2 linked regions of the Canis lupus familiaris genome follow. The protein of the gene in region 2 binds, or shares a complex with, the protein of the main gene of each other region. Links are inferred from orthologs where the notes say so. Each region holds a gene or a part of one and is shown on either strand. Other genes may lie near its edges.

Evidence for each region.
Region 1: HBS1L (region 2) and PELO share a complex: the UniProt entries of both Homo sapiens proteins name them as parts of the pelota-HBS1L complex. The link is inferred for Canis lupus familiaris from reciprocal best matches to the Homo sapiens genes HBS1L and PELO.

What each region holds. Positions count from the first base shown.
Region 1 is NC_049225.1:63,365,399-63,371,012, reverse strand, and holds PELO (protein pelota homolog), read left to right. Parts: upstream 1-2,782; 5' UTR 2,783-2,822; coding exon 2,823-3,548; intron 3,549-3,845; coding exon 3,846-4,277; 3' UTR 4,278-4,470; downstream 4,471-5,614. UniProt on the Homo sapiens protein: Component of the Pelota-HBS1L complex, a complex that recognizes stalled ribosomes and triggers the No-Go Decay (NGD) pathway.
Region 2 is NC_049222.1:27,967,148-27,972,852, reverse strand, and holds part of HBS1L (HBS1-like protein), read left to right. Parts: intron 1-1,705; coding exon 1,706-1,965; intron 1,966-2,430; coding exon 2,431-2,596; intron 2,597-5,243; coding exon 5,244-5,361; intron 5,362-5,705. UniProt on the Homo sapiens protein: GTPase component of the Pelota-HBS1L complex, a complex that recognizes stalled ribosomes and triggers the No-Go Decay (NGD) pathway.

The sequences.
Region 1 (5,614 bases), on a different chromosome or scaffold from region 2:
TTCAAGATTCAGTGGAAGAATGAGGGTGAATCCACCAAGAGCTGAATACGAAAGAAAAAACTAATATTCCAATTAATATAATGCATGATTTCAAATGTGAGATAATATTTAAGCTAGTGCTTAAAAAGAAGTAGGATTTATGTCCTACTCTCACAAGAGTGAGAGGCAGTGACATTTTAAGCAGAGAGAATGGCAGAGTTAAGGGCAACAAGTAGACAGTTCCCAGGATATACGGGGAACAAAGATTACTCCTGTGGAATATAGGATGCTGGAGGGCCCAAGTGGAAAATAATGTTTGTAAGGCAAAATCATGGAGGCCTTGAATGCTAGAGAATTGAATTTTAATTAGTAGGGAATGAGAACTCCAAATAACTCCAAATAAAAATGTAATTAGTCTGGAAACAGTAAGTTACCACACAAAATCTGGGAGAAAACATCTGATTGTTCAACAGTAAGTTACAATTACTAAAAAATCGTTCCATTTCAGATCAAATAGTAATTCTATGAAAAATTTTGTAATATGTTCAATCACTGAAGCCCATTTATGTTTAAAAAGACAGCTTAGGGGGATCCCTGGGTGGCTCAGCAGTTTAGCGCCTGCCGTAGGCCCAGGGCGTGATCCTGGAGACCCAGGATCAAGTGCCACATCAGGCTCCCTGCATGAAGCCTGCTTCTCTCTCTGCCTCTCTCTCTCTGTCATGAATAAATAAATAAAGTCTTAAAAAAAAAAAAAAGACAGCTCAAAGTAGTTTACCCTATGATTTAAATAAACTTTTTAAAAGAACCACAGAATTAACAGTTAATGGGGGTTTCCCACAGGTTTTAAAGTGTAGAAATATGTGCATAGTTTTCTAAAGTAGAATACTGGATTCTTCTCAAGGATTGTAATGGTGACCTAGACTGGACGGAAGGAAAACTATGTTGAATGGAGGAATATAAAGATTTTTTTAAAAGTAATGAAAGCAAGAAAGGGACTGTGCTTTTCAGATCCTGTTAGTTCCTAAGCTGTGTGTCTTTAACTAGTAAAAGTGACAAGAAGTGGCAGTGAATGACAGCACATAATTTGTGATTGCAGAGATGATTTTGAGCATCCGTAATATAGTTTGCAGCACTGGATAGAGGAGAGGGTGTGGAGTTAAGCAGGTCTGAATTTAAAAGCTGGTTATGTGATCTTGAATTCATTTATTTCCCCGTAATTCATTTTCTAATCCACAAAATGAGGATAACAAATATTTACAGGAGAGGATTAGAAGAGTATAGGAAAGTACCTGGTGAATATTCAATAAATGATAGCTCTTCAATAAAAACTTAACCCTTGTTAAGATCCTACTGTATGCCTGCCACTCTGAATCTGTGGTTTTTAATCTTTGTCAGGCTTTGCAGAGAGGTAAATTCTACTTTAAAAAAAAGTGATCAAAAAATAAATAAATAAAAAAAAAGTGATCAAGGAGCAACTCAAAGTATTTCTCTTCCCTAGTTATTAGTAAATGTCCTTTGGAGAAGCAACCCATCTTTACGCTTTAGTGCAATCAGTTCCTTACTCAAAAGTTACTAGGTTTTCTTGGAAGTGCAAGAAGGGGGCTTTTTCTATTCAGTGATCTTGTTAAGAGGCAATCCTCACTTTTCAACCTCTCGCCACCATAAAACGCCAAGAGATTTACAGATTTTCTTTAAATCCTGTTGGTCCTAGTAAATCAGACGTTCCCCACTTCCAGTACCCTCAGCTCTCAGCTAGACGTTAGCAGTGAGGGTCAGGCCCTAAGCTTTTGCGACCCAACCCCCAACCTAAGTATTTCACAGGCTACTGAGCTGCGTGAAGCGGAGACTGCCAATTTTGGATTCTGGGATTCCCAGGACACCAGGGCAAGCAACTGAGCGGTCCACCCAGGGGTAAATTCCCCAGACGGTTTCTTGTGTCTCTGGGGCCAGCGCTTTAACGTCTGGGGAAGTCGGTCGGTGCAGACACGGTGACTAAGCGCGGCAAACAGCTGGGCAGATTGCTCGGAGCCCAGACCCATCGAGACCCGTCGTTGTTAGAAACCGGTTCTGGAAATAGCAACTCCAGCAGGTGGGCAGCGTTGGGGTGCGGATAAGGCGAAAGCACGTTTTAGAACTTTGGGAGCAAGTGTGCACTTCGGAGAATTCCTTTTACTTCTAGTTAAGGTTTGAAACCGGATTTAGCCCAAGGGGAGAGAAGGTAAACAGCGGCAACTTCACGCATCTGGAAAAACAACAACAACAAAAAAAAACCAGTTTGCATTCACATAGTCCCCAAAGTCTGCACAAACAGGTTCGGTATTAACATAAAAGACCCGCCGCCGCCGCCGCCGCCTCCGAGCGCTTCCCCCCGCGGGTTTCCTCCGAACGCGCCTAGCGACGGCGACGACTACGCCTGCGCCCCGGGGGCCTGCGACCCCGCGACCCCGCCTACCCCGTGGGGACGTAAGACGTGCGCCGAGGGGCGGGCTGCGCGCTGCGCATGCGCTCTGCTGGCGGCCGCCCTGGGTCCGCGCTGGCGGCTGGAGCCTCGGAGAAGCCGGCTGCTCTGTCTCTCGCGGGGTCCGGCGCGGCGCGCGCGGAGACCAGGAAAAGAAGGGCCGGCGTAAGTGTTCCCGTCGGCCGCTTGAGTCAGAACTAGAGCATTTCCTTCCCGCCGGGCTAGTGCCTGCGGGGACGCGGGCCCCGCCCCCTCCCCGGCCCAGACCCGCTTTCCCCTCCCTGCCCCCCTCCCACTGGGGACCTCCTCGTGGCCTCGCGTTCTGCCTGTGAACACCGCCCCCCCACCCCCACCCCCACCCCCACCCCCACCCGCCGCCGGCGTCATGAAGCTCGTGAGGAAGGACATTGAGAAAGACAATGCGGGCCAGGTGACCCTCGTCCCCGAGGAACCTGAGGATATGTGGCACACCTACAATCTAGTGCAGGTGGGCGACAGCTTGCGTGCCTCCACCATCCGCAAGGTGCAGACCGAGTCCTCCACGGGCAGCGTAGGGAGCAACCGGGTGCGCACTACGCTCACTCTCTGCGTGGAGGCCATCGATTTTGACTCTCAAGCCTGCCAGCTGCGGGTTAAGGGGACCAACATCCAAGAAAATGAGTATGTCAAGATGGGGGCTTACCACACCATCGAGCTGGAGCCCAACCGCCAGTTCACCCTGGCCAAGAAACAGTGGGACAGTGTGGTTCTGGAGCGCATTGAGCAGGCCTGTGACCCGGCCTGGAGTGCAGATGTGGCGGCTGTGGTCATGCAGGAAGGCCTCGCCCATATCTGCTTAGTCACTCCCAGCATGACCCTCACTCGGGCCAAGGTGGAGGTGAACATCCCTAGAAAACGGAAAGGCAACTGTTCGCAGCATGACCGGGCCCTGGAGCGATTCTATGAACAGGTGGTCCAGGCTATCCAGCGCCACATAAACTTCGATGTAGTGAAGTGCATCCTGGTGGCCAGCCCAGGATTTGTGAGGGAGCAGTTCTGCGACTACATGTTTCAACAAGCAGTGAAGACCGACAACAAACTGCTCCTGGAAAACCGGTCCAAGTTCCTTCAGGTAAAAAGTCTTCTCCAAGGATAATTAAGAGTGGGCAGAGGGATTTGTATAAAACTCCTCTTTAAGTTTTAGAACCGGGAAAAGTACAAGAGGACAAGGGGTTCACCGGACTGTGATTGTAAATGAGACAATGAAATGCAAAGAGAGTTGTTAAAAGGCCTTGTGTATCTAGTAAACTTTGCTTAAGTCCTCAAACCTATAAAGCCTCAGTTGTGCTTTTGGCTCTAGGTCATCGCAGGCTGATTAATGGGTACTCTCAGAGATTCTTTTGTCTAACTTTCATAATTATGATTCTAGGTACATGCCTCCTCTGGACACAAGTACTCCCTGAAAGAGGCCCTTTGTGACCCTTCTGTAGCTAGCCGCCTTTCAGACACTAAAGCTGCTGGGGAAGTAAAAGCCTTGGATGACTTCTATAAAATGTTACAACATGAACCTGACCGAGCTTTTTATGGACTCAAGCAGGTGGAGAAAGCCAATGAGGCTATGGCAATTGATACATTGCTCATCAGCGATGAGCTTTTCAGGCACCAGGATGTTGCTACCCGGAGCCGGTATGTGAAGTTGGTGGACAGTGTGAAAGAGAATGCAGGCACGGTTAGGATATTCTCTAGTCTTCATGTATCGGGAGAACAGCTCAGTCAGTTGACTGGAGTAGCTGCCATTCTCCGCTTCCCCGTCCCTGAACTCTCTGATCAAGAGGATGATTCTAGTTCTGAAGAAGATTAATGATTGGACCTTATAATTGAGACAAGCTGTGTCTCTGTTGTTACATTTTCTTAGCATCCTGACAAAAAGCTGCAAGGCACTTTGTGGTTCTTACAGTGATTTCTCATGTATTTGGGCACACTAGGTATCTTGTGATTGGCAGGATATGTGTTAAAACTAAACAATAAATTAAAATGAAATAATCTCCATCTACTACCATCTGTATTAATTAGAATAATTTTTGAAGAAATTATGAGTTATTTGCAGAGCTTGAAAACATATCTTGTATTTAATTAAAAAAAAATGGCTGTATATTCTTTGGGATAGATCATAAAATCCCAAATGTCATACTTTGAATAAGTTTTCCTTAGAAAAAGCTGTTTAATACTTCATTATCCTAATAAGTTTACATTATTTTAATTCTACATAGTGTTCTTGCACTGTTTAAGATCCCTTTACTCCATTTCTTCACTTTTTTTTTTTAATTTGCTATTTTAAAGGATGGCCAAATGATAGACTTTTCTAGAAGACAAATTTAAAATGTCCAAAGAGACTTGTTAAATCAGTCATGTTACAAGTAAACTCTTGGTAGGTTTTTTTTTTTTTTTTTCCTACTATTAATCTTACTTGCTTTAGAGGACCCCTTAATCAGTTATTTTTAGATATAGACTTTTGATCTAGAGATTCTCAAGATAAGCTATTTGAGGTATCTTTATTTTTAAAATGCAGTTAAGATACATGATTTGCTTGTTGTGTGACTAGTGCTAAAGCTGAAAATATTCATTTCTGGGCTCCATTTATTTGCACTGCCACACTATGTATTATTTGGCTTATCCTAGATATATGTAGTGCTATCTTATATTTCTATGTGGCATTAGTTTGTGCTTGCACATTCTTATTGGACTCTCTACACCTTATTTTAAGATGTGAGAAGGTCTACTGAGAAAGTTTGATTAAGTTACATCATTAGTAGCATGTGGTAGTTGACTTGTACTCCAGTACTCTTTACTGTAATGAGGGAGTTTCTGCTAATACCTGAGTTTAAAATATTTTCATTCGGTATTTTGGATGTGCATTTTAAGGGGTAGGGAGGGATCCTTAGAATGGAATTGCATCCTTACTTTTTACAGACCTCAGTTTAGCAAAAGAATTAGGAAAGGCGTTATGAAGAAAGAGTGATAATCAGTTTGTAACACATTGGTACCTACTTCGAGTATAAATACTAAGTAAACTTTTGCTAATCCTTTCTGTTTCTGGGCATTTCTCCTGGGATAAGTGCCAGGTCTGGGGATTATTTTTTATAAATTTAACTAATCTGAGTTTATTTTAATCTGTAATTAGAAATAGACACTTCCATA
Region 2 (5,705 bases):
TTAAATGCTTTCCTTTGAAGAAAAGCTTCTATAACTAAAAACAGATTTGAAACCAGAAATTGTGATTTCTCCCAGGTCTGATCAGAACCAGAGCCCTAGTTATTTTGGTTGAACACTTTTATGAGAATTTGTAGAGATTTGTTTGTTTGTTTTGACTTGCCTAAATGCAGATTTGTCATGTTTTGGTTTTAGAACTAGCTGTGGTCATTCAAATATTTGCAAATTACAGTCTAAGATTTCACTTAATTTAGCCTTTAGAATCCTTCAAAAGAACTGGAACCTTCACATACTTAAGTTTGTTCCCTGTGGTTCTAGATGAAGCTAATCTAAGTGGTGTTAACGAATGAATGCCAAAATTGTTAGTAGAGATTTGCAAAAGCAAGAGAAAAGGGGAGAGTAGATATGAGGTTTTTAATGAAGTTGCAAATATAACTAATGTGACCCTTTCCTGAGGCCTAGGATGAAGGGTCTGAGTTGAGACATAAAAATGCCCCGAGAAGGGAAAAAGGAGTCTGCTTTTTGTTATAGTAGACAAGAGGAAAATAATGTACTGTTCTCATATAAACTGCTTTTTGTATGTAATTCTTTGCCAGTCTCAAATGGAGTTGGATAGAATTGGTTTCATTCTTAATAACTTGTAATTTAACCTGTTATTTGTCCAAATTCTGTTTATCTGTGTCACTGAAAGGAATGTAAGGTATATTGTAGTCTGATTGATTAGATCACATTACTGCTAGCCATCCATAGGATAGCACTGATACAGTTTCTGTAGGTAATGGTCAAAGAGCTTAATGAACTAAGGTCAGAGAGAATAAGTTATGCTAGATGGTCTTGTTTCTACTTTATGTATTGAGTCCCTCACTACATTATAAGCTTTTGGGATTAGTAGATAAATTTCTCATCTGCATCTTCTTTTCTTCTCAACATCAATGTCTAGTATAAGTTGTAATTTTTAGAAAATCAAGTATTTGTTTAGTTAATGAATTAAAAACTTCTTTGCTGAAAGTATTGAGAAAATGTAGACAGATAAGATATCTATCTCCCTTAAGGATAGTGTTTGAGCAAAAAAGATTAAAGTCTCTGTCCTGTTGGAAGAATGAGTTTGGGATAATTTTTTTTTTTTTAAATACTACTTTACCTCTGGGAACACTTTTAGTGCCAAGTTTTGTTTTGTTTTGTTTTTTAAAGATTTATTTATTTATTTATGATAGAGAGAGAGAGAGAGAGAGAGAGGCAGAGACACAGGAGGAGGGAGAAGCAGGCTCCATGCTGGGAGCCTGACGTGGGACTCAGTCCCGGGACTCCAGGATCGTGCCCTGGGCTGAAGGTGGCGCTAAACCGCTGAGCCACCCAGGGATCCCTTTTAGTGCCAAGTTTTACAAAATCTCTTCTTTATGCCATGTTTTGATAGGATCATATGGCTAAGGCTATGGCCTTGAATTCAGTTATTTTATGGGATATTTTCTTCTTATCTCAGCATTTGGTAGACTGTTTTTCTCCTGGGATCTTCTAAGTCTGTATTTGTGTGGTTTGTGTCTAGCTACTTAAAATTTCCACCTTAATAGGCTAGCCACTTAGTAGAGATCATTTTTGGTCTGCAAGTGTAAGGAATTAGAAGAGACAATTTCTCTGCCCTTCTGACATTAACAAGAGGATGTCAGTTGAGTTGGTTTAAACACTTTTTTCCTATCTCTGCTTTCTATAGAGTAACTGAAGAAAATGGTCATAGTTTCCACACACTTCAAAAAGAACATCTTAGTGAAGAAACCAGCATTGCTTCTTCTGATGTTCTTGACACTGTTTCTAAATCAGTTCTCCCATCCCACACCATTCAAACATCAGAAGAGCAGAATTCACCATCAGTACCGGTGAAGAAATCTGGCAAGCTGAGGCAGCAAATAGATGTCAAAGCGGAACTGGAGAAGCGGCAAGGAGGGAAGCAGCTCCTCAACTTGGTGGTCATCGGTAATGCCCTTTAGTCCTCTGGATGGTCACTCACCTCTGCTTTAGCCTAGCAACCTCCTAGTGGCAGCGTGGACACTCGTTCCCACTCTTTGAGTTTCTGTGTTGGTGTAAATGGACACAAGCAAGGAGGCATTGCATCATGATGCTTTCTAGTCACTTTGTGGGGAATGATGCCAAGTTATCAAGGAGTTATTAGACTTGTGGCATTTTCATTTTGTGAATATTTTGAAAACGCCATATCTTACTGACAGTTTTAATTTCCAAAAGTCAAGGAAACTCCCCCCCTCTCTAAAGAGATACTCTTTTTTTTTTTCTCCATTTACTTTAACTATCTTTTGATAAAAATTGGTATTTATTACTCGAAACACTGACACGAATTATTGGATTACATATGCATGCAATGCCTCGATGTGAACAACGTCTGGAAAATGTACCTAGTATTAATCCTGAATCAATTTTCCTTAGGTCATGTTGATGCTGGGAAAAGTACTCTGATGGGCCATATGCTTTATCTTCTGGGTAATGTAAACAAAAGAACTATGCATAAGTATGAACAAGAGTCTAAAAAGGCTGGCAAAGCTTCGTTTGCATATGCATGGGTCTTGGATGAGACTGGCGAAGAAAGGGAAAGGTAGTCATTATATTTCAAAATTTTCAGTTTGCAATGATATATAATCTTTTAAATAAGTATGTAATATGTGTTGAATGAAACATGCCATGAAATATTTTAGAAACTTCTTTTAGAGGAAAGCTTTCAATTATTGGGGAAATATTTTTATTATAGTTTCCATTGAATCTGTATACATTTACTATTCCAAATTCTATGAGAATAGTTGAATTTTATCAAAAAAAAATTAAAACACGCACACAGTAAAAGGCAGTAAGAACCCTTTGTTAATTATTCTGTGGGAGAAGTTTCAGTTGTCCCTTCCCGAAATATGTCAAATTGACTTGATATTGAATTAAAATTACGAATGAGACTAAATTTTATAGAAGATAACTTTAAGGGAAGGTAACTTTTTGCAGTAAACTCTTTTCTGTCTGGAATTAAAATGACCAGTAAATTTAAATTATCACACTTAATTCATTTTTTATACTTTCTGTAGGATGTTTTTATAAGATAGAGTCAACAAACAAGTAATTAAACCTACCTCCTACCATGGAGATTTAGTCTGTTACCCCTGTATCTATTACTGTGCCCAATGCTAACTCTGCAGGAGAGAACAGCTACTCATGGACCTCTGGCCAAAGTATTTCTTTTGAAGTCTTTTTAGAGTGATCATATGTATCATGTTAGAATTGTCAGGGATCAGAGAGCCAATGGCACCTTTGTCAGGAAAGAAAGAAGGCACCTAAATAAGTGAATTGGCAGGTGTATCAACTGTGTCAAAATAATAATTAAGTCCTCTGAAAGTCCTCTGAAAGTCCTAAATCAACAAAGGAAGTATTCTGTGTTTCTTATCTTCCTTCTGAGTATGATTAGAGAATATATTTGGATTTTCATACTTTAAAAAAGGTGTATATTTACTTTCTTGGAGTCTTGAATAGTCTACATTAAAATATATAAGGTAATCTCAATAAAGGGGGTCACAATATTCCTCAGCTCTTGTGATAAACAGAATTGTATATCAGGGTGGGTTTTTTTTTCTTTTTGTAGGTGTCTTATTTATTCTTTATAGCATCACATGCTTGTTTTCCAACCCAGTAAGGAAAATTAGTTGGTGGCAAATTTTTGGAAAATGAATATTGGAAAACAGTGGAATTTTTGTATGATGTCAATGTTAGAAGAACAAATAATTTCCACCTATCAGCTTACCAAACGGATTATTAAAATACATGGCTCCTTAGTTACATTTGTGTCATCTGTTAAATAGGTAAAGAGATTGAGAATGGTATAATTTAAGTTAGGATGACTTGTTTGAATTAATATGTGAGTTGAACTGGCAGGTGAGCTAATTATTTAATTTCTGGAATAGTCAATAATTTTAGTGGGGTTTTTATTCTTTTTGATACTATATCTACTGGTTGGCTGTTATATTTTTGCTGCTAGTAGTTTTCTATTGCTCAGAATGATGCAATTTTAGAATATTTTATGGTTCTGTAGATAGCAGATGCTTCTAGTTACATAATAAGAATTTTAACTCACCAGTAGTAATAGTATTTCAGTAGTATTTCAAAAATACAGTGTGTTATATCCTACCATATTAAACATTTATAAATTGTTCTGCTCATATGTTGAACAGAAATTAGTATAATGAGGGATATTTATATCCCTAGGGTTACAAATGCAGACCAGACCTGGCTCCAAAGAGTGTGTTTTGGTCAAAGCAGTCTATGGAGAAGCTCAGAATGAGTCTTGGTTCATCAGTCATCTAGACAATTATTTGAGGATTATTAGAATTAGACATCATTTTCACCAGGTCAAATGGCCCATGGTTTCAGATTAAGTTAGAATGACTTGAGCAAGGAGACCCATGTGTTATTTCATTGCTCTGCTAGGGTATTATCAGAACAGTTGGTAGTAGAATGGAGTGCCCATTCATTACTCTGGACTGTTTGGGGCAAGCCAGGATGAATGATTACCCAGTTTATTGCCCACCCAATTTCCTTTTCCTGATGTCTAGAAAGACTCAGTACCTTTGTAGACCCTCCCTGGGCTTTCTTATAATCCAAACCTACATTTTTTTTGGCTAAGAAGAGGCACTGTGTTGGTCTTCAAGAAGGACGAAACGGGATGTAAAACAAACTGTTGTTTAGTTCTCTCGACTTTTAAAAGTTTTGGTATCTCCTTTGATATTTCCTTTTTTCTAAATGTGGAACATTCTGACCTACCTTACAAATGAAAGTTTAGAAGTTTATTTTTATCATTAGTGAAGTATCTACATATGAAGATGAGGAAAACTGCCTCCATCCACTTTACCTTCTCTCATGGGCAGTATTTTCTGTTTTCTCTTCCAGAGGTGTCTCCATATATTTTTTTGTTCGTAGTCTACATAGCCTCTTACCCCCAGAAAAGGAAATGGGAAACATCCAGCATTTTTGTTAAGCTCTTGCTGTGTCCAAAATCTTATTTTAAAGGCATACACATGTAATTCTGTTAATTGCAGAAATTCTAGCTCCCAAGTGATAGCTTAATTAGTCAAAACAGTAGACTGTGTAATAAAATTCCCATTGTTTCTTAAGAATTCACTGTCAATTAGCCTATATTATTAAATGACTTAATCCATGGCACTGATTATTTCTATAGTATTTTCTAACCATTTTATGTTTTCTTTAAGGGGAGTAACAATGGATGTTGGTATGACAAAGTTTGAGACCACAACCAAAGTTATTACATTAATGGATGCTCCAGGCCATAAGGATTTCATTCCAAATATGATTACAGGAGCAGCCCAGGTACCAGATATTTCCTGAATTATAGTACACTGATTGTACATACAATTTCCTAATTCTGAGCTTATAATTCTGGGATTGTAACTTTTAAAGTATTTTGAAATTAAAAAATTTAACTTTTGAAAAAAAAGATTGTATTTTTATGATCTCATTGTTACTATATAAAACCTATTCTAATTATATAGATGCAAATTTATAAAAGCTATGAATTTCTTATAATAAAAATAATGGTAAAGTTCATGATGAAGTATAGCTTTATATTTCTTATTAATAAGTTGGAGTGAATATTTCAGTATCTGCCTTTTTACTGTATTTACATCCAAGGCTATATCTTTTAAAAGTGCTGA